Styela clava: one gene and its partners. The protein of the gene in region 3 binds, or shares a complex with, the protein of the main gene of each other region. Links are inferred from orthologs where the notes say so. Each region holds a gene or a part of one and is shown on either strand. Other genes may lie near its edges.

The links.
Region 1: the proteins of condensin complex subunit 3-like (region 3) and condensin complex subunit 2-like are in contact, whole or in part, in a crystal structure (PDB 6IGX), measured with the Homo sapiens proteins. The link is inferred for Styela clava from reciprocal best matches to the Homo sapiens genes NCAPG and NCAPH. Residues at the interface, in NP_071741.2 of Homo sapiens: Lys11, Phe14, Arg15, Gln18, His50, Tyr51, Lys53, Tyr54, Val55, Met56, Val57, Glu62, Ala64, Val65, Val68, Phe102, Ser106, Glu108, Ala109, Asn110, Ser111, Val114, Arg115, Ile149, Arg150, Lys152, Asp153, Lys154, Arg159, Glu188; in NP_056156.2 of Homo sapiens: Glu471, Ile472, Asp473, Phe474, Glu475, Asp476, Asp477, Ile478, Phe480, Val482, Tyr483, Phe484, Arg485, Lys486, Thr487, Ala489, Ala490, Thr491, Ile492, Leu493, Gln501, Asn502, Trp503, Ala505, Thr506, Thr507, Leu508, Phe512, Tyr514, Val516.
Region 2: condensin complex subunit 3-like (region 3) and condensin complex subunit 1-like share a complex: the UniProt entries of both Homo sapiens proteins name them as parts of the condensin complex. The link is inferred for Styela clava from reciprocal best matches to the Homo sapiens genes NCAPG and NCAPD2.
Region 4: condensin complex subunit 3-like (region 3) and structural maintenance of chromosomes protein 4-like share a complex: the UniProt entries of both Homo sapiens proteins name them as parts of the condensin complex. The link is inferred for Styela clava from reciprocal best matches to the Homo sapiens genes NCAPG and SMC4.

What each region holds. Positions count from the first base shown.
Region 1 is NC_135253.1:217,341-225,262, reverse strand, and holds the start of condensin complex subunit 2-like, read right to left. Parts: upstream 3,025-7,922; 5' UTR 2,984-3,024; coding exon 2,753-2,983; intron 1,459-2,752; coding exon 1,357-1,458; intron 829-1,356; coding exon 668-828; intron 1-667. UniProt on the Homo sapiens protein: Regulatory subunit of the condensin complex, a complex required for conversion of interphase chromatin into mitotic-like condense chromosomes.
Region 2 is NC_135256.1:8,804,489-8,811,485, forward strand, and holds the start of condensin complex subunit 1-like, read right to left. Parts: upstream 3,014-6,997; 5' UTR 2,994-3,013; coding exon 2,876-2,993; intron 2,430-2,875; coding exon 2,295-2,429; intron 1,089-2,294; coding exon 834-1,088; intron 116-833; coding exon 4-115; intron 1-3. Other genes in the region: uncharacterized protein LOC144425034, read right to left, coding at 3,729-4,655. UniProt on the Homo sapiens protein: Regulatory subunit of the condensin complex, a complex required for conversion of interphase chromatin into mitotic-like condense chromosomes.
Region 3 is NC_135251.1:22,335,375-22,342,348, forward strand, and holds the start of condensin complex subunit 3-like, read left to right. Parts: upstream 1-3,956; 5' UTR 3,957-4,148; coding exon 4,149-4,250; intron 4,251-4,650; coding exon 4,651-4,766; intron 4,767-5,352; coding exon 5,353-5,452; intron 5,453-5,883; coding exon 5,884-5,993; intron 5,994-6,974. UniProt on the Homo sapiens protein: Regulatory subunit of the condensin complex, a complex required for conversion of interphase chromatin into mitotic-like condense chromosomes.
Region 4 is NC_135251.1:14,605,486-14,612,906, forward strand, and holds the start of structural maintenance of chromosomes protein 4-like, read left to right. Parts: upstream 1-4,411; 5' UTR 4,412-4,448; coding exon 4,449-7,421. UniProt on the Homo sapiens protein: Central component of the condensin complex, a complex required for conversion of interphase chromatin into mitotic-like condense chromosomes.

The DNA of each region.
Region 1 (7,922 bases), on a different chromosome or scaffold from region 3:
ATAAATTCCTACAATATTGTGATAGCATATGTGCGGTAACATGTGAAATTTTTAATAATAACTATGTTTCTAGAAACTCTCAATACCTTATTTAGTCAATTATAATGGATTAAGGTTTTTTGTGTGAGTCCCAGCAAAGCGATAAACAACCATCAATATTGATAAAACTGTTACACCAGAAATTCAAAATTTATTTTGGGAAGGTCGCAAATTCGGAACTACTTTGATGACATTATTGCTTCGAGCTACCTCTACTGTGTTTCTGTGATTACTAACTCACCAGCTTTAAATCGATTCTATTTATAGAACCACCGTTTTCTATTGATACTAAATTTGCTTTTTCTCATTGTGCAGTCTCTCGAAAACGTTACTCTGAATAATAACTTTTCAGTTATGATCATGCATGAAATGGCTAATCATGTGCCAACAGGAATTAGGCGAGACACCTTTCTAACGCAAAATGAAAGTGAGGGAAATATTGGGAAACCAGCAGTTATGCAGAGGCGAGAGCTGTTGAAGCACGCATCCCGGCGCTTGCGGAGTATGGCCGATATGATATATTATATCGGGAAAAACATGCAATATCGGCCCGATATATCGGTTGGCCGATATATCGGTCGAGCTCTAATATTTTGTATCTTGTTAAAAAAAAAATAAAAAACATTACTTGTAAGTCTCAGAATGCACAGCATCAACTCTGGATGCATAGATTTTTGCACTTGCAAATATAGTTCCTCCTGCCATCTGGAAATTGAGTGTTCCTTCGCATCTTTGCTTCAGCATTTCATTCATATGATCAATTAAATGCAGATTGAAAGCATTTTTAGCCTGAACAAAGAGCAACTGAATATGCAAAGGTTCGGATAATTGATAACACGGTTATGGCTCCATTGCTTAAAAACAAATTTATATCCACTCATTTGATCACATGTAGAAACCTACAAGTATGCCAGGAGTTACAGAATGCACTTGATAAAATGGCTGAGTGACAGAACACGTGCACAACCACATAACTGTTACCAATTACCATTGAAAAATAACTCTTACAAGACATTTTTAACAATATTTTCCATCATTAATTCTGAACATAGTTTGCAGGATTCCAAAATTACATAACACTGTTTTCTTTTAAGATAAAACATATCAAGTTAAAAGCCATTAACATAAATACAGTTGCAAGCCTGCAACCTTCAAAATTATATTACACAGATATACCCAAAACATCAAAATACATTCAGAAGTTTCAAATTAAAATTGGGATCCTTTGCCAAAATAAAGTCCTAATTTAACATGTTTTGAAATGGCCGGCAATAAAAACGCTTCAGTTCTTATTAACATGTAGTAGAATAAACTCACTGTGATTTTGTTCTCCGTTGATAGTTTAATACAGTTTACATAATGTGATGCCAGTTGATCGTTGGTTAATTTTGCTGTTACGCCCTGATCTTCCTCAACAGGCTATAAAATAATAGCAAAAAACCTTGGTAATATTCAACATTTATAAATAGCATATATAAAAGCAACATGGAAATTACTGAAAATCTGTGATATGAATCAAGGTTTATTTCATTCATTCAAATGTATGTCATTACAAATTGACTTTATCTCCACTGGCCAATGTTAAAATTATTCATTGCCAGTCAAAGGCCTTATCACTTGCCACAGTAACAAGTATCGAATATAGGTTGATCACTGCAAAGATTTTTCTGCAAAAAGATTTTGGAAAAAATGACTTTCTGGATTCAAGGGAAAGGGTGAGGAAAAACTATCAAGACTTCAAAAATAGAAAATTTTAAATAAATCTAGTTGTGTATAAAAACTAACGAAAATTTCACCCACGGCCTGCAAATAGATAATTTACGAAAGGTAAGCAAAACAGACTCCAGTGGTCAGACTAAAAAACAAGCATTTCAATATTATCAGATTGATACTTGATTTTCCATTTCACTCTGACAAACTAGCATAGCGTTTATGACAGGTTAGGCCCCTATACTCCAGACTGGATTCCCTGGCAGATGCACGCCCGAGGACGCTAGCACTCTGCAAAAATGCATGAGTGCAAATTCAATTTTGCACGCCGATAATTTGTAATTGCTCACCAATGAAAATCGGTTGAAATAGTTTTTAAATCAATAATCCAGTAATATAAAGATGCTAACAATTTGTAGCTCCACAATTGTCGACACTGGTCAGTTACGGCTCTGATTCAGCGTATTTTTCATCCAATAATTTTACGCAAAAACACTCCCAAAAATTAATGACAAAATGTAGAAATAATGTTTGTGTGTCAAAGGTCAAATGTCCATTTTGCTCTGATTCAACCTATTTTTCATCCAATAATTTTAAGCGGATGTACTGAACAGTACCAGAACATTCTGCTCCGAAGTTATGTATTTTTATCCAATCATTTTACGCAGGTCGATGTACTGAACAGCAACTGAAGTCAAAATCAGTTGCACGCGAGCACAGTCGATTTGCACGCCGTTATTCATAATTGCACACCGGGAATTTTGATTTGCGCGCTGGAATTTCTGATTGCATGCCCGGTTTCTCGTTCAAAATGGCCATGAAATCCAGACTGGTCTATACTAATGTTTTAGATCTGTTATAACTCAAAATTCCACAAGACCTTTGCGGTTTCCAACATTTTATGGCTCAAGGCCCCCTCCGAAGGCTTCTAGCACTCATAGCCCTACCAAACAATTAATTATACAATATCCTGAAAAATAGACTTTGCTATACTTTACTTTACCTTGACAAGTGGACTACCAGTTGCTTGAGCTAGAGTTCGAGATCTTCTCTTCTCCCTTCGTTCCCTCGCATCCTCTTCATTATGAACATTGGGAAGCTGCGGTGATTCTAATGGCGCATCACCTTGACCATTGAGAGAACGACGAGTTTGTGGTGAAGAGACTTCACTTTTGCCTGCATATCGGTTGAGTAAATTGACAGAGCGTCTCCTTGATGTCAGCGGGGTCGACATGATTAAATTAGCTTAACTCAGACATAAGACGTTCTGTAATACTATAAAATAAAATGGGTTCATGAGAAGATGTTTACTTCCTTGCACTCTTAAACATAGCAAATAATGTGAAAAGATTGAGAGCAGAGAGATAGGGATGATCATGTAAGTTGAGTAGTTTGAGTTTCAAAAGGTTTGGTTTGCGATTAATTCAGAATCTTCTAAATTCATTCATCGAGAAACAAAATCATGATATAGTTAAATTTGACTTATGAAATTGTACGCAAATCACGACACAAAAGTCAAATACAGAAATGAAGCAATTTTAATCATGTGAAAAAAATTCATCTATTTCGGATATCAAAATTTACGAATTTTTGTCAAACAAAGTAGAAAAATGGGCCGCTAACAATAACAGTGAAATAGCCTACTGAATATTTTCCACATAATGTTTTATAATTACATATATTTTGCAATAACTTCAATAATTGGCAAAACAAGACCTTTCACATTCATGATTTTACAGCGATAAAATGCGAAACAAACTGGTATTGTCTAATTTGAGATGTTGCATGTATTGTGGTAACAGTATTGAGAATTTTCAATTTTTGCAATGAATCATGTGATAATTCAGTTGGGATAGTCTTAAGAGTCTCAAGTCAAGTATAGTTCAGTAGTTGGTAGTCAAGACATTTTATTCAGTACCGGTATGGCTAAAATTAAATTTTTACGCCCTAGCCTTAAAAAACTAATTTGGTCAGCATTAAAAAACTGAAATACTAGATGTCTGTATGTAGGCTATCTTTCTCTGTCCTCTTTCTAAATTTTCTAGTTTTCGCTTTGATCTTGATCTGTGTTCACTTTCATTTGCAGTCAAGGCAATATTCAGTATCAGGATTATGCCTGTTCTAAACACTCCTCATCATACATATCGCACAAAACTGCAAAAGCATAGAGAAGAGATCCAGAACTGAAAATCACAGTTCCGGGATTTTAGTAACTCTAACGTCTGGACGTTACATTTTTGAAAAAATTGGTGAAATTCCAGTTGCTTGGAATGAACCTTCTACAGCCCTATTTTCCAGCATTCTAACTGCAGAACTGTCTGAAAATGTCGGCAGATCCGGTATTTCAGTACCTTATTCAGTTTGACACTTGACGGCTGGCGCATTACAATTTACAGCATTATCAGATTATGCTACACGTCAGGCAGTGCTAAGTGATGTCATACCCAGTTTCATATCCTATAACAGTATTATTCAAAAACTACGTCATTGCAACGTCACAAGACCCCCCCACACAACGTACCGGTACCGGTACCGTACCAGTGCTCTTTTGGCGTAGAACATTTGCCGTACGGTACCGACTACCGATACGTTATCCGTAAACGTTTAACGTTATACTGTTATAAATTAGGTTGTTTTAGATAAGGCCGACATAAAATCATTGAATATTTTATTTAGCAAACACTCCATCAGCAGTCCGCTCTTACAGTTGATTTTGACATTTAAAAACCGTCGTACTGTCCTAAATACGGTGCCTAGAATGTCAGCTGAAACGGCGATGGCGTTGGTAATGGCGGGAACTCTGAAATTTGGTTTAAGACTATTTCGTACCCAAATAAAATGTCGAAGTTAAAAAAAAAATCGATTACTTTTTGGCATTTATTCACGCGTCAAATCGAGCCGGCAAAAAGTTTGCGGTGTCATTCTTTCTACCTCTACATTTTATTTATTTGCTGATTTATATCAAAGACTTGAGCTTAAAAATTATTAAATGCTGGTAATGAAAACCGTCTACGGCAGTGATTCCCAAAGGGGGCGCTGCGGCGCTTTGCTAAGTGCTCCCGGATGTTAACAGAATTGTGTTAATAACTAATATATGATTGAATATTCTGAATATTATATTTATTGTGAATGTATATTATTTTAAATGCTGTGTATATGAATTATCAAATGCATTTCACTTTTCCTTTTATAATGAAAAATAACATAAATAAAATATTATCAAAAAGAATTACTGACTGTACATTATTAACATGATATATATTTTACTTTTCTACGTCGTTTACATTCTGTTTCTAATGTCTGCGTCTATTGGTACGTAACAATAGAGGTAAACACGATTTGCTGCAATTTACTATTTTCTATTATAAAAGCGAACGTATGGTATAAAATTATTTTAACTAACGGAATTTGCCACATATTGAATTTGTATTGCAAAAATGAAAAAAAAAAATGATCAAAACGATAAGGTTGGAGAGCAGGTATTCAAGGATACCAATTATTTGGGTAACTGTATACTTATGGATGAATGTAAGTTAATACAAATTGTGCAGCATTTTGAACAATATAAACATGAGATGTGTTTTATTCTACTATACACATACTAGTGTAACAGTGGCGGCGCGTCAATACTGCCAACCGGGCCAATGCCCCGGTTGTTTTTTCGGTATAATAAAAAATCTTCGAAAAATACCTCAATATCGGTTGCACAGACTGTCTACACTAGCCATATTCTCCCGACATGATTCATTTTTCGCTCGCAAAGCCTTCGCCGAACGTCGACGGGGCGACGCCGATTTTGCCCCGGTTGCTCATTGTATATCGTATTCTCTCTTTTATCTTCCACTCGCCGCGTTTGTCTCGTTTGTTTTCTGTTTCTTTTACTAAATCATCGGGGCTAGCCCCGAAATTATGACGACACAATGCCGACGTTTCTTACAACAACGTGTTGACATATTCACGCATTCCTTCTCGTTCGTTGGTTGCTTGAAGAGTTGATAGTTTCCTCGCCTTCGTTTTTGTCGCTTGTTTCGCTATTTGAATCAGTTAGAGACCTTTAGTCCATTTGCTTTCGATTTTCCACATTCCTTTTGAGCTCCTCACTTCTTTCCGGCTTCCCATTTCTTAGCCTTAGACCTCATAATGAATGAGGTTGATGCACTAGTTCGCACTCCGTTTTCGCCAAATTTTACCCCATGATAAACGTGGGTAAATTGGGAAATGAATTGCGATGTATATACACCAATCAAACTTTTTTGAACATCACATCAACTTGCGCGCTCTATGGGTTCCTCATAGATAACACTCTAGTAACCTTTGCGGCGTCTGCAAAATTTCTGGACATCATTTTGACGACGCCTATTTCTTCCGCCGACGCAGAGCGAACATTCAGCACGCTGAAGCGTATTAAAACGTATCTCAGAAACACAATGAAGCAAGATAGATTAAATTCCTTGGCTGTTTTATCCATTCACAGAGACGTTATTTCTGGGATGCATGACTTTAATCAGCGCGTTATTGAGCATTTTGCCTCCAAGAAACCGCGGCGTGTTGCATATATGTTCAAGCAGTAGAAGTCTAGCAGCATATATATCTATGAATGAGCGACGCATGTCCTTATCTTTGCATTACCTTTCCTTTCTTCATAGTAACGTTTAGGTTTTGTCTGCTTTCCCGAAGTTTCTGTTAATATGTCATTGTATTTATCTGGGTAAATATTGCCTTTCCTTTTGAAAGAGGTTTCAAAATAAACTATGTCTATATTTATTAATCCCTTGACTTGGACCGATTTTAAAGACACGACACTTTCTTATCGTTAAAAATTTTCGCTTTCGCCGATTGGTTGTTACCGATGGAATGGTTTTTATACTCATAAAATGATGGGAGAACTTACAGCGCTCATCCTATCCCCGTAGATTGGGGTGACTTGGTCCCGCAATAGCTTGCCCCGGTTGTCAAAATGACCACGCGCCGCCACTGTTAAGTGTAATATAATCAGAAGCACGGGTTCAATCGAAACAAATCAGATTTTTGGTGTAAACAATATGCATTCTCTGGCCAAGGCTATTTGTGAAAATATTGTATACTTTGTATAAATCGGTATGTTAGTCGTTGGTATAAATGTAATATTCAAGATTCAATATCATCGATATTAAAATATCAATCAAGTCAATAAAATATCAATCAAGGTGCGTTTATCAATTCATTGTTGTTTATTGAGGTGAGATAAGATAACATTCCTCTATACTATACATTTTAACATATGATGGGTATAGAAAACTGTTGTGATGTTACATTTTCTTCAAGGCTTCCAAGACAACCTCTGTCAAGCTCCAGAAACACTTATATAAAATTACTGAATTAGTCGCGCCTGTTATTGTTAAGTTTTGAACATTTCTCTTAATTAAACTTATTATTTAGAACGCGGATCTGACATTTATACATTTATTCGCGTTACAAGTTTTCTTTTTTAACCATTATTTACTTATTCATGTAGGCACTACTCTGGCCATATTTATATGAGAAAGAACCATTTGTAACTACATCATTTTAATCTTATTCATGTCGCTTTTTGCCTAAATCCGCATTGCAATGTGCATCTCTTAAAAATGATGCACCGACTTAAACGGTGCCTGCGTTGTTGGTTTTTCATTTATCGTTAGGTCATAATCCCGATAATTAATTAATTTGTTAATTACTGAAATTTCCAAGATTTCCCCTTTTTGAAACTCATCTCCTGTGCAAAATTATGTACAAACTGAGCTGTCCAGTTACACTTGTACATGTTATCGACGATTGCTACTAATATTCACGATATTCTAGTAAATAAAAGGCATTCCTCATGAGCATCCTTCGAGTCAAAGACACATCAAGTAAGTTTGTCAAAATACAGTATTTTGTTTGCACTGAACCAAGTGCATATGTGTGTTTGTGCATTTGTCTGTTTATATGTGCAGTTTCGTAGAAAGATAAGTAACTGAAGATTCATCAGCACAGTCTGCACCGAATTGACAATATATTATATATATATATACCTGTTTCTTTCCAACGTTGCAGTTTTTATATATATATATATACTACCATATACAATTGAAATAGAAACAGTTCATATATGTAAATTTAACAGTTTAATACTTTATATCATGTCGGGAAATCGTTAACTTGCATTTGTAATA
Region 2 (6,997 bases), on a different chromosome or scaffold from region 3:
TACTTTATAAAATCATCTTCAACAAGTTCAGGATCCCATAATCTATGAATATCAAGATCAACAAAAGTCATCAGAAGTCGGACCAATTTTTCACATTCATTTGTCCACTGAATCTCTGGAAAGCACAGAGTAATAGATTTAGTTTTTATGACACTTTGGTGCAATCCTGATATTGCTACTACGCATTACCACTAATTTTCTGATCGTTTTTCTTTGATCCTGTTCATTTACTAGTTTGGTATAAGATGCTTCTCAAGTCTTCTACTCTGAACAAGGCATATATTACCAGCCAATGATATCTCACGAATCACGATATGTAAGGACAAAGGAGTTTTTATTTGGAAGGACTGGAGTCTTTCTGATTTGGCCTGGTATACCCAATTTAACGGATCCTGGATGAGGTGGAAAGAATGATATTTGAACCTCAGATGTGCAATTGATGATGCCAACACAGTTATGTATACGCTTTTAACTGCTGAGCCATTGTCCCACAATTAAGATGGAATAACGAAAGTACTGAACAACATAAGATAAACAACCTAACTAAATTCATCCTTGCCAAAGATAAAAATAATCGAAGATAATTAATGGCAAATAAGAAATGGATTCAATACCATTTATCCTTGGCCAATAGCTATTTTATTCCATTTGAAAAGCAAATTGGCATAATATTTAGTTTCAACAGTAGGATTTACTATGGTCTGGGTAAAGACTGTGGAAAGAAAACTATGAATGTGAATGATGTGATAAAATAATCAAATGATTGGACTTGGAGCCGCTAAAAATGGTTTGGCAATGTCTGTTACAAGATACTATAGCAAAATTTTACATACCTTGACTGGTACTTGTCTTATTTTTAGATCCTTTTCCACGCTTTTTGCCAGCATTTACAGAAGCTGAGGCCTCTGTTGATTGATTATATTTAGCTTGAAATAATTCTGTCATTTGTACCATCAGATAAATCAACATTTTCAACGCATTCTTGTGATTTAATCGAGCGTCAAGGTCAAGAGTTGGCGATGCAAGGTTATCTCCTGAGGATCCACTAGAGAGAATATTCCCCAAGAAGTTGCTGTAAGACTTGCAAGCTTAATGAGAAAATTTATTAGAAATTATGATTTCATAGAGAAAAAACACTAATTCATAGTAATAGCATCAGAATTCTTAATATAAACCAGCTTTATGAAATAGCATTTAATTTGAATTTTATTCTCTGGACACCCCTATACCCTACTGCAGGGATCGGCAAAGTTTTGTCGCTTGTGGAGTGTGAACCAAAAATAGGGGTTGCACTGGATATAGCCACTGGATGGATATCCAGCCCAAGATTAAACATTTTGAAAATGGGAATCACTCATCTGAGTTTTCCGCTTGTTCTTTGTAATGTTCATTTTCGAAAACAATTGTTCGCATGCATATGTAGGCTACTTCAAAACATCAATGTGAATTTTTTCACATGGTTGTCATATTTGGATACAGTTTTTCTTCAAGAAGATACTTTTTATAAAAATTGAGCAGTGATACATATCTCGAATAGAACATAGATTTATTTTCTCATTGCATTGCATCTCAAAAAATATCATTTGAATATTTTCTGCACAATTGAACCCATTGCACCTAGCATCAACTTTTCTGCGTTTCGTTGCCACTTGTCTACCACTATAATTAAATTATAGGCTCATTAAACGAGTAATTGTAAATTATATACCTGTTAAGTTAAAATATAATTCAGTCTACACGTATCTCACAATAATTTATGTTACGTAAAGAATATAATGTTTAAAACAGCCGTTTTGTTAATATAATTTAGTGGCCGTCGGGGGCCAGATCCGGCCCGTGTGCCGTAGGTAACCAACCCCTACCCTACTTCATACATGTACTTGTAACTTGAGCATATTGTCCAAATATCAGTTTTACAATGAATTCATAACTTCGGAAACACAACTACAAACTCTGAACAAATAGGTAGCAACAAAGTCACAAAAGGGGCTAATAACGACTACAAAATCTGTCTTCATGAAAAAAGTGTCTGAGACTGAGTGACTACTGACTACTAAAGTTTAACTGCTATATCACCTTTAACATTTTGCTGATAAGTCAATGTTACAGAAATAAACAATTCGATACTTGGGCAAACCTCTACTATTGCTAAGTAAATGAAAAAAAAGAATTTTAAATGAAATTAAAAAAACAAACATTTAGAGTGTATAAATTCCTTAACATTCGATAATATACAAAAATACTAAAAACCAAAATCCCACAATACTTTTAAAAAGATTACAAATATTTATTACTTTTGAGTAACATCTCCCAAGTCTGTTGTCTCACAACTGGATCTATTTCATTGAATTTTGAAACGACACTGTAGATCACATCAAAGTTCTCCAGTACTGCAAGTCCTCCATCTCTTGCAAAAGCAATTTTTGCATCTAAAAATAAGAATAATTAGTTTCTTCAAGGGTGGTTTTGGATTATTGGTAATCAATATTGATCAGAATAAAAGACCATTACACCATTACTACAAAACTTTTAACCGAATTTAATTAATAAAGCAATAAATTGCATAATTTAATTCATGAATTATTTGGAATATTGTTACTTGGAAACTTGTCATTTTGAGCCATAAACTCGCCAACTTGTCTACAAGTTGGTTAATTTCAATCACTTAAATATGATATTTACATGCAGGATAAAATAAAAACAGGCTTATTTGATATTCATACTTGACATGGTCATAAATCATAGTTGTTTTCATATGACACAATTAATAATATATTTAGTTCAATTTTGGTCAAACTAAATTTTCTTTTTTTATTATTCTTTTGTTTTCAATTCGATCAAACTCTTTTTACAAAATATAAAAAATGATATTCACTTTGTAGTTTTATCGGCAGCATACGACTGGAGAAAACTTCTTCAACGACATATTGTGTCGCAGACGGCGTTGAATTTTGTAAGTCTTGAAGATGAAACGGTATAACAAAATTTTTCATTTCCTATTATTATAAATATAAACCTAGAGAATAAAACAAATAAGATTGTAAAAAAAATGAAATTCAACATAAAAATGCTATGATATAATACTATTATGATGAGTAGTTTCATATAGGCAAAGTAACAGGCACAGACACGAGAAAAAAACATAATAAGCATGGCTGTATAGAATAAAAAGGCAAATAATAACCACTGGTAGATAGGAATAATGAGTGTTTATAGGAAAAACTTGCACAATACATCATGATATTGCTTTCAATGATTAAAATAAATATACAATTAGAAAAAGTACTGGAAATATGAATTGTGATATCGTGATCATGGTAAATCATATGAAGTCTGAATTCGGCAAATAAGATTCGAGCTTAATGTGGCCAGGTAATACAAAGGAATAAAATTCAAAAACAAAACAAGCTTTCATTATTAAATATGAAATATCAAAGATCAGTCATCCACTGAATGAGGATTCTCACAAGAAAAATCTATATAAAAAGACAATCATTTGATTTTGAAAGCACATCAGTTCAGATAAGTAGGGAGAGTCTGAAGACCTATAAATAAAGAGTAAGAAATCTATTGGATTTATAGCTTGTAACATATATGAAATCAGTGCAGATAAAGTTAAAATGTTTTTGTCTTAAAAAAACTTGTTCGTACGCATTTTTCCACTTACCTATATATCAATATTTTATAATATATTTTCAATATATTTCAATTTCCAAGGTAAAAAATAGTCAAGTTTCAAATTTTTGATGTTTAAATCTGTTGGATTCTGGAATATAATTTTTATCAAAATCAACTAAATCAGGAGATGATTTACGTTTGGGTGCAACATACTCCTTTTTTTGGAATTTATATGAATGCGATCTATGGGAGGATATCCCGGAGGGATAGTCAGCTTGGCGACGATGTTTTGTATTATTTACATCCTTGGATCCTATTTTTTTGTTCTTTTTTTCTAATTTTGTCGACAGTGAATCCATATTTGAATCTTCTTCTTCATCTGATGCAATAATGATAAAATCATGTTCATCTTCATTTTTATTTTCTGAAACGGTTTTTGTGACAATAACAGCACTTTTCGTTTCTGTTTCAATATCCTTCTTCGTTCGGAAAGAGTTTTGAAACTTAGTGAGTTGTGTTATGTATTGGGTACAACGAATTAATTGTCTATTACAATCCGATCTCAATAATTCATGGAAAATTTTAGTAAAATCCAGATTTCTTTCATCAGCAATGCTTCGCACAACTTTATAAAAAATTTCAACTTGGGATTCTTCGACAGGATCATGAATAGGAATAATACATAATCTTTTTTCGGCAAGTTCATTTGAGTCCGGATCGAGATACGATGCCGGCTCTGTTTCTAAATGCATATTTGTAATTCTTCTTATCCTTTCTGCAGTATCAGAATCAAAAGTAATCCAAATAACGGGACATCCAACTTTGAGATGTGCTTCAATGAGTACAATTCCTCTTGAAGGGATATTGAACTGTATTGCATTCTTATTATATCCTTTTTGTTCCAATACAGCACTGAAAGATATTGTTTCTTTTGAAAACTGAAGTGGAATATTTCGACGATCTCTTGGAGGAAATGTTTTCAATGTTCCAATTCTGACAGTGCGAAAAGGTATCATGAACACATGTTCACTTTCCATTTTCGATAAAAAAAACAGCTAAACTGATATAGCATTCTGAACAAGAAGTTTACCAATAGTAAATGAATTGACTATTAATAACCATGGTAAAATAATACTTGAGAAGCTCAAGTTTTGAAATTCGGGTTGATAGCAAACACGACCTACAGATAATTACCTGCTCAACGATCAAAGCAACTTCTTAGTAAGCCTTAGTAGCATTGCATCGCTTGTCATTGCATAACTACTGAACTAGCACAAGAATTACTGGGAGAGACACAAACTTATTTTAGGAACTATTGTTTTTACTGATTGATTTGTTGTAATCATAATCAGCTTGGCGATATCTTTTTATTCATTATTTTTCTTTACTGTTCACTCTTGTTTACAAAATCAATACTCAATTTGGCAACCATCAGAAAATTAATAATAATATGGTGTGGCAAGTAATTTTTATTTATTCATTTATTTTTTGTTTGCTATGTACAAGTATAAGCTTATTGTGATCCCATAATCAGCATTATAAACGATAAAACGTGCATGTGTTTGGTTGTTTTTATCAATTACTTTATCGTCTGTTATGATGATCATGCGGTCAAACTAAACTTATACTTGATGTACTTGAGAAACAATACTTACATGTTTCGAGCATAAAAAATTCGGAAATATTTTAAAATTATGGAGTTCAAATTATAAAACAGCGATGCCCTGTATAGAGATACAGGCTAGTCGGGCTACTGCAGTACATCAGTCAGGCAGTAGCGGTAGACTAAGACGAGTATTAAAGTTATTTCATAACCATGTGAATATCATATTAACAAAAAGTATTTCATCATTCACAAAATGATTATCTGTTTTTATACAAAATGATGTCTAAAATTACAGCAGAACATTCAGACATTGCCATATGTAAAACACAAAACAGACGACATACTGTGTTTCCCCGAAATTACAACAGGGTCACATTTCAATTTTCTTCTGCAAAATACCTCTAGGGCTTATTTTCGGGGGATTCCTTTTATTTTCATTTACCAAAAACAAAATTAAGTGTAGAGAATTACGAGATTTTCAAATATGAAAAAAAGATATCTATTTACTTATAAATAACACGTTTTTATTCAAAATGACAGCAGAACATAGATCATCATCAATTCAAACGTGTTCGCGTTATTGAATAAGTTAGGCCTTATTTAAAAGAGGTGGGCTTATATTAAAATAATTTTAAAATTCAGGCTAGGTTTTATTTTCGGGGAACACTGTAGTAGGCTTCATTCTGTCATTTGAAAATCTGGTATCGGTATAGACTACGTAAACATTATAAGCAAACGCCAAAATTCATCTCTGAAACTCATGAGACATTGAGAACTGGAGAAAGAAAGTCAAAAAAAATTCTGTCATACCGGTAGCAAAATGCAATTTTCAATATTTAAAATGACATCAAAAAATAATAACACCCTATTTTGAAAAAATGTTTTGGTTTTTTCTCACGTTGTGGATTATTCAATAATCAAAGAATGTATAAAAATAACAACCATCCAAAATTATTAACAGAAAAGATACATTAACAGCAGCCAGCAATTGATTGATTGTATTGTCCATTATATCCAAATTAAGTATCCATGTAGTTCCCACAGTAATTGGCAGTGCATTATTTTTTAATTAACATTTATTATCAAGAAAAAAATTAAATATGTATTAGTTTCAGTACTTTCACTGAGGTAAAAATTCATAAGTTATTATAACTCATATCAAGTTCTCTTGTGGGACTAGGATGTTGCCTAAACTTTTCTATATTTCTTCTTGCCATGAGTGACTTCTTAATTTTAATGATTACATTGTTTACAATTCTGCATTTGCAGATTTGGGTTAGCATCTGAAAAATTACGGCATTCCTTTCTAACCATATTTTGTGTCTAGCAGTGCAAAATAGCAATATTATATCATTGCGTTCAAGGCTGGACAAATGTGAATCCCATCCAAATTTGATTTGATCCCATTCCCAGAAATAAACATTTGCATAGAAAAATCATGAATGAATCAGTGCGGCGGTGTGGCTCAACGGGCTAAGCGTTAAGAATACGCTCGCCAACGCACCTCTGATTACTCTGCATGAGTTCGCAGGTTCGAATCCCATGCAGGGATGGTTATGTGCGAGAGGATTGCTGGACTCCTCGCCGTCGTTGGGTGGTTCACGTAACCGCTGGTCGGTTACGGCTTCCTCCACCACCAAGTCCATGCTTTCGAAAACAAACAATATAACTAATCCCATACCCGACTTGGAATGGTAACCGGACGAGAGGCCGTGGTTCGCCATATGGATAAGCCGTCTTATCGGCTTTCCTCTCCCCCGGGATAAATATGTA
Region 3 (6,974 bases):
TCGAAAATGGGAGAAAAATGAAAGCACATTTGGTTAAGGAAAAATTCAAAAAAAGGAAAAGGCGAAATAATGGCATCGGATATTACGAAACGACAGAATCGGCAAAAAGAATACGCTACGCCAATATTCAATCAGAGGAAAGCAATTTGATTACAGGAGATAGAAATGCAACAGGCTTACTTCCAAAAATGGAGATTTCAAACTTTGGAAAAAACATATGGACATCAGTACATTTTTTAGAAAAGATTAAAACTACTGCTGTGAAACTTTGGAAACAAGCAAACGAAATAAAAGATTTTGGTCACACGGCATTAAGACTTAATAAAGAAATCGATCTGAACTGGGTTGATGTATGCTCGGTTTGCCCAAATATTGGAAAAGAAACATTGTTCAAAATGCAGAAAGTTATAAAAAATATAACGTATCAAGGTTGGCTAACGACTGACGTAGTGAATGCATCCATCAAAATGACTGTGGATCAGCACAACAGAGCAAAACAGAATGAAGATATCGGATGCACCGACTGGTATTTCACCAAAAGAATAATCGATGGACGTTATTTTAAAAGCGGATCAAAAAGTTTGAGAGATCTAATTGTACATGGAAGCAGTGAGTTGAGACAGCATCTAATATTTCCCTATCTTGTTAAAAAACGGAGAGCAGCATTTTGTCATATTATATTATTCGACCGATTTGAAGATTTGCACTATTATCAATTCCATCAGACCATACGACAAAATTTTATACAAAACAATTCAATCACAATTCATCCCATTTCTTCGTCAATTGGCAAATGTGCAATATATACATTAAATTAGAACAAGAATGCATAATTGAGCAGAAAGACGGTAGTTCCTGTGGAGTCTGTGCATGTGCGGCTGCCGAATTTATTTGTACGGGGGAAAAGTTCAATATTTCTACTGATGATTTCAGGCATTGGATTGTATATTTTCTGTTCGAAAACTCAACCAATGCATATCTCTTGAATGGTCAAAAAAACGAAAAGCCTATATTTAAAACTGTCGGATTGGTAAATAAATGGAACAACTGTTGGGAAAATTGTTGCTTACAGGCTTTAAATTATCTCCTAAGAAACTCTCGAATAGCAAGCGATGACGTGCCAGAATTCAATAACCTTGTAGGAAATGCAATTATGATACTCCGAACAATGTCCACAGGGCATCAAGTGTCGGATATTTCTATCACAAATTTATTGAAGAGAGTTTGTACAGAAAAGATGTGGACCTATGGACAAGAACAGGACGCTGCCGAGTTTCTATTTCAGACAGTGCTATTCAATATATGTCTGCTTTACGGGAAGGTTACAACCCTACAACTATCGACAATACGCTTGTGTAAAAAGTGCCCATATAGGACACATAATATAGTTTCACAAAATCATTTAATATTACCAATGCCAGAAACTATCGCCGACAGTGCTTATTTACAAATTTATTTAAAAGATTACACATATGGGAAAACTGGAAATGCCCCGAATGCAAAAAGAAATCAAGAGCAGAATGCAAAATCAATATCAATTCAACACCGGATATTTTGACAATTTGTCTTGCTCGAGGAACAAGACAAGGAATGAAAAATCATAAAAAAGTTTTCCCCAATCCCGAAATATCCATTTTTGATAATTCGCGGAATCAAAATGTCAAATACGATCTAGCTAGTGTTATTGTACACCGGGGTGAAAATAATGATACTGGAGGATCCCACTACGTGACTTACATATATTCTGACAATTCAACAATCTTGTGTGATGATCTGAATATTGGAGATCAGATATTATTCGATCCGGAGGATCCAGGCGATGATATAGCCAGGGGAGGGTATATATATTTTTATGAAAAACAGCTTAATACGCTAAAGTAGGATGCATCAATTGTAACTCCAATTACGTATATCTGAAAGATTTCCAAGCTGATAGAACATCCTTCCTGAAGTTATTTAAAGAATTGAGCACAATTTTTCGCTACAGCGAATTGGATATGGTCGTTTTTTCATAATCGTAACTATGACTAGGTAATTATCGGACATTTCATGCTGTGCTGGCTTTACTAATGATATTTTGAAAATTTAACCAATTCTTTGTGTTACTGTATTAGATTTCACGTTCATAAATCATATTGAAACTTTTCCTTTAATACACAATATTTCGTTACAGCTAAATTGCTTTGTCATTTTTAATAGTCTTAAATTTCGCTTAGTAAATATCGGAAATTTCAATAAGTTATGTTGGCTATTAAAATATTTATTTGAATATTTAACTAATTTTATGTGTTACTACATTGGATTCCACATTCAGAAATCATGTTGAAACTTTTCCTGCAATGCACCTTTTTCAATAGAGCGACTTGGATACGATCGTTTTGTTATAATCTTAACTTTCATATTGAAACTAATCGTCGTCTAACATGTTTTGACATTAACTGTAAATTTGTTAAATGTATTTTACTCGATAAATTTGAAAATTTCAACTTTTTTATGTTGATAATGTAATAAACGCGTTTTTACAAAATATTATTATGTAATATTATTCGATTTCGTCCCGAGAAATCGCCAGATGTTGCTTGTTGATGTCGTATCCCAAATGTGGCAACTGATGTTTTTTCCGCTATGACACCCGGATGTAAAGTTGTATTTTTTGTGCTGAAATTGTGGCAAGATGACACCGGTTTTAAAAACATTTTTAGTCATGCATGGGACGACCGTTTCATTGTTGGATCAACACTTGAGCAAAATAAGCACATGCAAATGGGGGCACCGCATAAATTTTCATAGACGATTTTTCAACGGTATCTTAGTGTTAGCAAATTAAGTCGAGATGGTCATATGATTTAGATCTCAACATTGGATCAGTTGAAATTGATAATTTCTCTTATTGGAGTACCATCTAACACCTCCATATAAATGTTTGCAGTCATGAGAACTATTACCCCAAAATGTCATGTAAAAGAATCATAACTTTTAATTACTAGTAAATATTTGCGACCGGTTTTAAAGACACTTTCTTATCGTTAAAAATTGTCGCTTTTGCCGATTGGTTGTTACCGATGGAATGGTTTTTATACTCATAAAATGATGGGAGAACTTACAGCGCTCATCCTGTCCCCGTAGATGGGGGTGACTTGGTCCCGCAGTAGCTTGCCCCGGTTGTCAAAATGACCACGCGCCGCCACTGGTAAAATCCTTTCATTGACCATCTTAATTGTTCATTCCAGTTTAGTAGGCGAAGCGAGGCTTTTAAAAAGTCGATGCTGAAATTTGGCGCCAAATTATTTTAAACGTCAGCTTAGCTCATCACGCTTTATTGATTTCCTAGTTTCTGTCTACAGTACTTTGTCGCTCGGTCGAATAAGTCGCTTCGAGTGTTTTGTGGTTGTAATTTCCGGACTTCGGTCTTCCACTAACTGCTGGTATTTAGGATAGGATAGGATAGGATTTACATATTTATCCCGGGGAAGAGGAAAGCCGATAAGACGGCTTATCCATATGGCGAACCACGGCCTCTCGTCCGGTTACCATTCCAAGTCGGGTATGGGATTAGATTTTACTGTATTGTTTGTTTTCGGAAGCATGGACTTGGTGGTGGAGGAAGCCGTAACCGACCAGCGGTTACGTGAACCACCCAACGACGGCGAGGAGTCCAGCAATCCTCTCGCACATAACCATCCCTGCATGGGATTCGAACCTGCGAACCCACGCAGAGTAGTTAGAGGTGCGGTGGCGAGCGTATTCCTAACGCTTAGCCCGTTGAGCCACACCGCCGCGCCCAATTATTTCATTTTAACTATCATTCAAATGTACAATAGTGTCCAGATTGTGTATACAACATTACGGACATCATCTTTAGACTGTTAGATAATAAAGGTTTTTGCAATCTGGAGGGTCCTAGGCCTACTGGCTGACTGCTGGACTGGCGAGAGTAAACGACGGTACCGGTACCGTACCAGCTTACCGATCCCCCAGGATAAATATGTAAACCGTATCCTATTTTTAATAATACGTCAATACAAATAACAGCCAGATACTAGACAGCATTGTGAAAGCTGGATTCTGGGGTTATACATTACCATACTGAATCTGTGCAAATTCAGAAATCAGGTAGCCTAGACTAATTGTGAATTTCGAGTATCAATATGAAAATTGAAGACAAACTATCAGAAACATTCGATAAAAGTCAACATGGACATCAAAATCAAGCTAAACTCGCAGAAGGATTGAAAACATTTTATTCTAAGGTCAGAAGGTTTTTACTTTTCAACATTACTGCATTAAGTACCGGTACCACATTACAGCATTAACTTTATTATGCATTTCAGCATTTGGTGAAGTTAAATATCTCTGTATTTCTTTGGATTCAACCCAAATGGCAGATAAAAATATGTGCCCATAATGGCTGAAAAACCTTCAATAATAGGTTTTAGGAAATGAGAAGTTGTATTACTGTATAATTATGCACAGATATAGATATGACCTCGATGATAAGATGGTGGATGCTTCCATTGTAATTCAAATCTTAACTATTGGCAACCCTTATTTATTCAAAATTGTTAGTAGCCTATTGATCATTATATTAACAATATTTAATAGGCCTACAATATTTATAAAACTATAATTTACTGTTTAATAATTTTTCAGCTGAAAGATAATGACAAGCAAACTTTCCGAGATGAGTTTATTCGACATTTGAAGCCATGTTTGGTTGTGTTTACGAGAGAACCTGCTGTGGAACGAGTGATGGAATTTGTTGCACGGTTCGATATCCCTATTTGAAACATTGGTGGCTAATAACTCTAACTAGGATAACGGTTCACGATATTAATATTCTGAGAATATTTCGAAGGGTTGATCATGTTTTTGGGTTATTTCAAATTTAGTTGAAGTGGAAATTTCCACAAATCTATGAAGTTTTTTTTAGGTGCAGTCACTCCCTTTGTACCCTAAATATATTTGGAGATTTCTGAATGAAAATTAAACGAAGGGGGTTCAATATACAGTCCTCAAATGCCATTTGAATATATCCTATCCAAGACAAGATAATCGCTTGGCCAGCTTGCATAGCGTCCTTCATTTTCTTACTTTTTAGAATGAAATATATGTTTCCATTCAATCTAATGAGGTGTCCCACGCGATAGTTAATAGCCACCTAAAGAAAACTGGTTTTTTACTGAAGTTATGAAAAGTTTTGACTGTCTGTGATGAACCCTCAAAATAATAACTATTCAAATATATTACAATATTTAATTTGCTTTGTCCACATGTACCTCTATGACACACATAAATGTCATTGCAAAAAAACAAACTATTCACTGTGCCATATGATTTTGTTTACCACCACAGATTTGCAGCATGTTTTGCACAAACAAGTGATGAGGATGAAATTGAACCAGAGGTTGATGCTGATAACTTCTATCATTTCTTATTCGATTTTTTACTCAAGGTGAGTTGAAACATTCCACTGTCATGATGAAGATGAGTTTTTTGAAATACTTTGATGCTACTTGCCTTGAATACTTTGATTCTACAAGTCCATATTTAAGGATGCGTTTATATGGAAATGACTTAAGCTAAACATATTTTCATTTAAAATTATTGAATTGGTTTTATTAAATTTTTTTTTTTTTTTGGTAAATTTCTATATGCACGAAAAAGCTTAAATCAGGCTTCATGTTAAATTTTGCTAGTAAAAATTTTTATATCATCAAAAACTATAGTTTGTTTGCTATTTGTTGAAATTGAAACTTCAAAAATTGAATTAATCTGAAGAAATCAAGATATGAAAAATTTGTAAAAGATGCTTAATCTTCAATATATATATATATGTATACATCTGTGTGTATATTACCAGATAAATTGAGAATCTTTTTCTAGAACCATGTTGCGCAAGGAAAAGCAGTTAGATTTCGTATCTGTCAGCTTGTCAAGCTGTTATTGCATGTTGTACCAAGGGATGCAGCTTTGGATGAGGACTTGGTAGAAAGGTATGGAATTGCATAATGGGGCAGAAGGCCTAGTTTGAAAAAAACCTTATTAGTCCGGCAGAATCGCGCCTTAACATTGTTTTGAGACAAAGTTTTTTTATTGTTTAGATATAATGTCGATGACATAAATAATGATACCCAGGTGGTTGTGGAGTATATAATGTTGAGCAATTTTTTTTAAATGGATTTCAAGTATTTGTACCAAGATGACGCACAACCTGAACCCTAACCTGGTCCACATCATGCAATGTTCAGGTTGTGCGCCATCTTGGTACGAATACTTCGGGAGCACCTTTCGTTAAAAACAATTATTTCATAACTACATGGGTTAGTATTGAATACATAGTAACATTGCATCTCCTTACAATGTCAGAAATTCAATTTTAGTAGAATAAATGGTAGTTTATTTCACTAATATAAGCCAAGATCTATCGACAGCATCTAGCCACTTTCTTTTGCGCTCGTCAAACTACATTTGTGTTGCTGCGGGCATTTCGTTTTCCTGCTTAAAGTTAGGGACCTGGGAAATATTTTATTAGTTGAAATGAATTGGAATATTCGACCTCGTCTTTCACTCCGAACAAGGCCATGTAACTGACGATGTGTAACGAGTTTTCTTTTGAAAGAACAGGAACCTTTCAGGTGCAGCATTGACTTTTGCCAAATTAATATATTCTTGAGGAGATAGAAAGTATGCGTATGCGAAACCGAGATGTGCACCTGTTATGCCAACATAGTTGAGTCAAACATTTTGATCACTAGTACATCACACACATTTTCCTGTGTGCTTCGGTTGTACGTAGTAACGCGCACATTTTTGCGAACATGCATCAAATTCCACTTGTTTATTGAGCTATAGGTTTTTGACGAGCTTTCGTGTATGATTTCATTCCATAGAATTTGTATGCTGTTTTTATTAAAGAATACTAGTTTCAGCTTTTTTATTCATTCAAACCGCGTGTTGGAAGTAATTTTTGTAAT
Region 4 (7,421 bases), about 7.7 Mb from region 3:
CCCGATTATATTTTGTTTTGATCCGTATTTTTGCCATTTTGCGAATTCGACAAATCTGAGCCGTACTTGCAACACTGACTCCGCTCAATCGCAATGCTAGCACTCAGATTATTTTTAAGGTAAAACCGTTCAAAAAATCTGTAAATCTGCTGTAAAACCTAACAGAGTAAAATTTATTTCAGCACAATAAAAATTGATTGAATATACTTTAGGTTTAGATCAATTATCTTATATAGCATCACAACTCGGGAAAAGTAGCGTTTCCAACCTCGTATAATGTTAACACAAAAATTTTCGACGAAAATTTCAATTAATGAATAAAAAGTTAAAGTTGGGGGGGTGTTTCAAAATTTAGAGGGTGGTAAATAATTTGCTATTAGAGATAAAACTAGGCTATTTGTATTCTTAACAAAATGGTATGTATTTAAGAAACGATGTACATTGTTGATTGACCAAGATGATTGACGCGAGCCAAAATCCACAGAAGAATAAAAATGTAGGGCCAGAAAAGGGGAGCGAGGAAAAGTGCGGGACGACACGGCTGGGGTTCAGGGCGCGCTCAAGCGGCCTGAGAAAATTTTGAGAAATAGGCACCAAAATAGGCTCTAAGCTTGATTTTAGATACACCTAGCATCGCAGTTTGTTATGTAATGAAATCAATAATTAGAAAATTTAGCTGATAGAATTCCCGGGGAATAGATAACAAGCACGGCTTTCAACCGTAAATATATACTACTACGTTTCAACAAGTAATTTGCAACTGATAGTGACTAAGGAAGTTACTTGCTCATCTGGCATTGTATGAATGGCTACTTACGTTTTGTTACACATTTCTAATTTTTTGGAACATGTTTGTTTGACTTTTGTATGAATTAAATTTTGAAATAAGCTCGTCAACTGATCATAATGTTGTATTCCTTCAGAACTGAAATATTTTGTTGGTAAGAAGACAAATCGCTGAAGCTTGATTCTTTTCAATAAAGAAATAAAAACGCTGTCATTCATCTAAAAAACGTCATTTTCATTGCCTAGTTTTCGTTTTGTGACATCTTTAAGCTTTCTTAATATACGGCTGATATCTAAAATACTGCAGTGTGTAATCCTAATACCCATACGTATACATAAGATACCGGAATAATTCAATTGTTACGAAATAAACGTGCTTAAACTGTGATAATGATGTAACAATAGACGGTATCTAAAACTCAAAAGGTACCACATGAAGGGTTAAACTATTTCACTCAAGTTCGGCGGGCCATTTTAAATCGTCGCGCGGGCTGTAATTGGCCCGCAGACTGCGGTTTAGAACCCCTCAGTGTGAAATCGCACCTCAAAATTAGGGGGGGGGTGTTTGAAATTTTAGGGGGGTATAGGGGGGGTGTAGGGAAATCACTGAACCCCCCATGGGCTGCGCCACTGATCACGGGTATCCACGCTTTCTGGTGTTTACATCAAAAGCATTTAAGTTACTCCAATGACATTAAACTTTAATGTTAATAGTTAATGTTATTGGTTACCCATACAATAGCGAAAAAAATAATAATCACGGATTTTAAATATTCTGGGGTATATGAAATAGAAAGATTCGTAGACTCATTGCTATCGATTATTACTGAGTTATTACTATCGATTTGCCATTTGTATGTTACTTACCTTTTTTCATCGATGGCCTCATTCTATTACGGCTTCCTCAACCATCAAGTCCATGCTTCGGAAAACAAATAACTGGCTAACCATATTTACGGGATAACTAACAAGAGAGCTACGCACAAATATATGGACACGTCAGACCAGAGCGAATCAGTCCTTACCGGTACCTTTGACGCTACCGGTACCCTCAAAAAAGTTCCTAATTTCCAGTAGCAAGAATTTTGCAGAATCAAAACGTACAGCCAGTCATGACACTGACTAAAATCCGTGTTCCCATGGATAAAAAATAATACAGCAAAATATTAGACGAAATATCAAATTTCATAGAATTCACGCAAAATTTTGAAATAAATAAAAGCAATAGCCTTCTAGCGAAAAAATTAATCTTTAACCACTGAAAATTTCAAAGCAATTGGTCCAGTATTCGAAGAGAAAGGCGACTTTTTAAAAACGTGTCAAAGAACAAGAACAACAACAACAACATAATATTGAAACGATCGTTATGTCCACTACGTGTCCAATAATCCCATACCCGACCTGGACTGGTAACTGGACGGTAACTGGCCGTGGTTCGCCATATGATTAAGCCGTCTTATCGGCTTTCCCCTCCCTCGGGATAAATATGTAAATCCTATCCTATCCTTGATTGATCCGGGTAAGTTTATATTCATGCATTTTTGTACCCGTGAAATGGCCCATTCATGACGAATTTTATGGGTCACGCCATCTCGTGGTCTCGCGATTCCCGCGCTTTCTATTATATTTGATGTATTATTTTGATATTCATATAGTCCATGAGTGACAGGTATACGAATAGTTTATAGATATTTTTCATTGTACTTAAAAACAAAAACGTTTCGAAAAGTAATTACGGTATATACGGTAACTTACATACTATCGGTTTTCGTATAACTTGTCCAGTTTTGACATAATGCCATTTCAGTACCGGTACTTGCATTACTGCAGTACCGATACCGGTACCGGTACGGTACCGTAGACCAGGGGTGTGCAACCTTTTTTATTGGCGGGCCAAATACAAGTAACTGGGTGAAGCCGCGGGCCGCACCTTTATTTAATTTAGGCTTTCTGGTAGTTTCAAGCACAAAAATTGCCTATAGCATATTTGCTATTGATCTTACGGCATTATTAAGGGTTCTTGCAGAAATAGTAGATTTAAAACGCATAAACTTCTGAAGAAACTGATATTTAAATTTTTTGTCACACCGACTTCAAACGAATGCAGTGAGAAACACGTTTTTGTAATATAAATCGTGTATTTTGCAACAGAATTTTGCTAGCTTGTTTTGCTAATATGACTGGTATGGGCTTTGCGACGAAAAAGAATAAATACTCGTTTTGCGGGTACACCATTCGAATTCGTTATTTCTCCGCGGGCCGCACAACTTCTTCTTGCGGGCCGCATTTGGCCCGCGGGCCGCAGTTTGCACACCCCTGCCGTAGACTACCGTATCAGCAGATCTGAGCATTCTGCTGTCTCGCTGTTCTGGCTTCTGTTGACAAGACATAAAATTTGGTAGAAAGGGAATGCAGTAAGTTTTTAAAATGTTGGCCAAATGTAATAATAATGACACTCATGTTGACTGATAGGCCTATGTCTGGGCGCATGCTTGACCAAAGCTCATTTTTACGTACCTTAACAGTTTACAAGTTTTGTCACTGACAGACTGCAGGACTGATATTTATAATAAACAAACCTGCAAACGGCAGAACGGGCCAACTCTTGCGACAGCCTGAACTCAGATGCCTAGACTAATTAATGTTTCACTGCAGTAGACTAGCATGTGGGAAATTTTAGTATATATTAAGAAGTAATATTCCTCACTGTATTGTAGCTGGACATCAGAATGATCATATTTTTAGTGTTAATTTATATGAATTTCCGAATTTTGAGCGAACCAGAATATTCTGCGTAAGCGTTAATACCTCCACTTTATTTTTAGTCGATATCCCCAATTAGAATTGCATGATTTCCCCTATAATCTCTATAGCGCCAATATGGTCAAAAAATTTGACGCATCCGCCAACACAAACTATGATGAACTCCATCGGTAATTATATTTATGCCACTCCCAGAGAATTTGTTGTCAAAGGGTACTTTATCCAGTAGGACACAGTTCTCTTATTTCAAGATGTCCCGACATTTGGTTCAATGAAAAAACATTCTTATTTGTCTCTGAAACGAGAGTGTCTGAAGGCAGATGCGTCAGATCATTCCATGCTTGTCTCGATTATAATCCATGGTAAATTAATCACGGCCGTCATGTGACCAACATGGCGTTTTCATCTGAAAACTCTCTGAATGCTATGGTAAAATTTTCTTTTCATTTGATAAATCGGATGATTTTTTTCAAGAAATCCAATCGTGATGTTTTTAGATTGCACTTCTTTTTTAGGTTATTGCGCAGTACTAGTTTGCCAATTTATACCTCCTTTTTACGAGACAGTCTGGGTTGTCATGGCAGACACTCCTCATTTTGGAGACAAATAGGGTGTTTGTTTTATTGAACCAAGTCCTCAAACTTGCTACGAGTGCGTATTTTTGCATGTATGGAAGCACCTGAATCTTTCTGCTTCGGCATTGTTATCCCAATGTCTGAATGTATTCCGAACTGGGTGAGGTGGGTGACATGGGATTAGGACCTGATATGTTTAATCTGTAATACCAACACAGTTAAAGTTGATGCCTCAATCGCTAGGCCATCGCACTGCTTCGTATTTATATTTGATACTAATATTGTGGTATTATTTTCTGGTCTTTTTAAATAAAGTATATTAAAATGACTAAAACTGCCACGGAAAATACTGAAGATAATAAGATGGATACTCCTGATCCTGACACAGAGCCACCAATGGAGTTAGATGATGAAAGAAGTGAAGAAGTAGCGGAACTTGATCTTCCAGAGGGAATTACAATCCCACCTAAACCATTGGCTGTTGGTGTCGGTGCTGCAGGCGAACCACGGCTTATGATAACTCATATTGTGAATCATAATTTTAAATCATATGCTGGAGTTCAAGTACTTGGACCATTTCACAAAAGCTTTTCTGGAATTGTTGGACCAAACGGAAGTGGGAAGTCCAATGTTATTGATTCTATGCTTTTCGTTTTTGGGTATCGTTCCAACAAATTGAGGTCAAAAAAAGTATCAGTGATGATCCACAACAGTGAAAATCATAAAAATGCAACAAGTTGTACTGTTGAAGTTCATTTTCAATCAATTATTGATACAAGTGAAGATGAATTTGAAGTTGTGCCCAACAGTCAGTTTTGTGTCTCTCGTACTGCTTCTTCGGATAATTCATCTTACTATTGCATTGATGGAAAAAGAGTTCATTTTAAGGAAGTAGCCAAATTCCTTCGTTCAAGTGGAATTGATCTGGATCACAATAGGTTTTTAATTCTGCAAGGAGAAGTTGAACAAATTGCCATGATGAAACCAAAAGCACAAACAGCACATGATGAAGGAATGCTGGAATTTTTAGAAGATATCATTGGTTCTTCTCGGTTCAAGGAGGCAATTGAAAAACTGGCAAAATTGGTAGAAGAGTTGAGTGAAGAACGCGGCGAAAGACTCGCAAGAGTCAAACATGTCGAAAAAGAGAAAGATGAGCTCGAACCTTTGAGAGATGAAGCACTTGACTTCTTAAAAGCACAGAATAGAATGGCTGAATTGCAGAACAGACTTGTTCAAAATTATATTAGTAATATTAGCAGAGAAGAGAAAGAATATGCTGTACAGCGAGATGCTCTGAAAGAAAAAATGACTGGAATGGAAGAAGCGCTCAAGATGATTACAGAGGAAAGAAGAGAGAAAGTGAAAACAGTCAAAAAGATTTCAAAGATGTTGGAAAAGCAAGAGTCGTTGTGTCAGCAAAAAAAAGATAAAATGGGTGAATTAGAACAGACTAACATCAAAGTCTTTGAAGATCGCAAACACGCAAAAGCAAAGGCAAAAGATTTAGCCAAAAAAGTTGAAAAAGAAAAACGCAAATTCAAGGAACTCCAAGAAGTGCCAAGCGCTCATGAACGGGATTTAGAAACATTGACAAAAGCACTCGAGGGTTTTGCAGTAAGGAAAAAAGAAGCAGATGAAAATCTTACTGAAGTCACGAGAAGTTTGAAAGATGAAACATCTGATCTTCAGATGAAGATTGAAGAAAAGGAGAAACCCCTCATGGAATTGATGAAAGTTGTAAATGATACAAAACAGGTAAAAGATATGGCGGCAGCAGAACTTGAAATTTATACAAGCAACCATGAAAATGCCGTAGTTGCTCTTGAAAAGGTCACTTCAAGAATTCAGGAAGTAACTAGGATGTTGGAAAGCAGCAGAGAAGAAAGAGAGAATCTCAATCATTCTCTACCTGAGCTTGACACAAAATTAAAAGAGAAGACAAAACATTTACAAAATCTTAAAACCCAGGAACAAGATTTGTCAACCAAACTACAAGCTGCCAGAGGACATCTTGCAGATGCAGAGCATTCTTCAAAATCTGCCAAATCTCAAGGGAAAGTAACAGATTTTTTGATGCAGCTAAAAACCTCGGGAAAATTGCCTGGGATATATGGAAGACTTGGAAATTTGGGAGCTATTGATGAAAAATATGATGTTGCAATATCATCTTGTTGTCCCGCACTAGAAAATATTCTCGTTGATAATATTGAGACTGCACAGAAATGTGTTCAAGCCCTCAAGGTGAATAATGTTGGTCAAGCAACCTTCATTGCATTGGATAAAATGGATCGCCATAGGTCACAAGTTCAAAACAAACCAAGGTCTGCACTTCCTCGCTTGGTCGATTTGATACGTGTTAGTGACGAAAAGTTTAAAGTTGCATTTTACCACGCCTTACGTGATACCTTAGTTGCTAGCGATCTTTCTGAAGCCACCAAGGTAGCCTATGGTAAAGATCGCAGATGGAGAGTAGTCACTATAAAAGGAGAGATCATTGATACTTCCGGTACTATGACTGGTGGCGGTAACAGAGTAGTGAAAGGTCGTATGGGATCAAAGTGCGTTGCACAAGAAGCTGTTCCACTCGAGCAACTGCGAAAAATGCAAAGTGAAGCTGAAGCAATGGAGACAAAATTACGCTCTCTTAGGGGTGAGATTGCACTTGCTGAAGAAGCAGTTGAACAACTCCAAAGAAAATTGCGTAATTCAAAGTGTAGAACGGAGGAGCTCGAACAAGAGGCTTCTGGATTAAATCTTCAACTTAAACAGTTGGAACAACAAAAACCATCGTGTGAAAAAGAAGTTAAGAAAACGAAACCCGATCCAAATAAACAGGAAGAGATGAAAAACAAGTTGAATAAAGTTACGAAAGAATACAATTCTGCTGTAGCAAAATCTAAAAAAGTTGAAGCAGAAAAAAACAGTTACCATGAACAAATTGATGAAATTAACAGCAGGAAACTGAAACCAGCACAAGAGGCTCTTGATAAAATCATCAGTGAAATGAATGCTTCTAAAAAGAAAATCACAAAACTAAAAGTTGGTATTAATACAGCTGAACGTAACATTCAGAAAAGCGAAAAATCGATTGAAGCACTAGAATTGGAGATCACAGAAAATGAAGAAAATTTGAAAAAATTAGAAGAACAATGGACGCAACTCGAAGAAGAAGCTTCAGAACTTTTAAAAGAAACCGAAGAAGTTCAAAAAGAAAAACAAGAAGTGAGAGTTCAATTACAAGAATGTCAAATGGCGCTTCAAGAAATTGAAGAACGTGAGAACAAGACGAAGGAA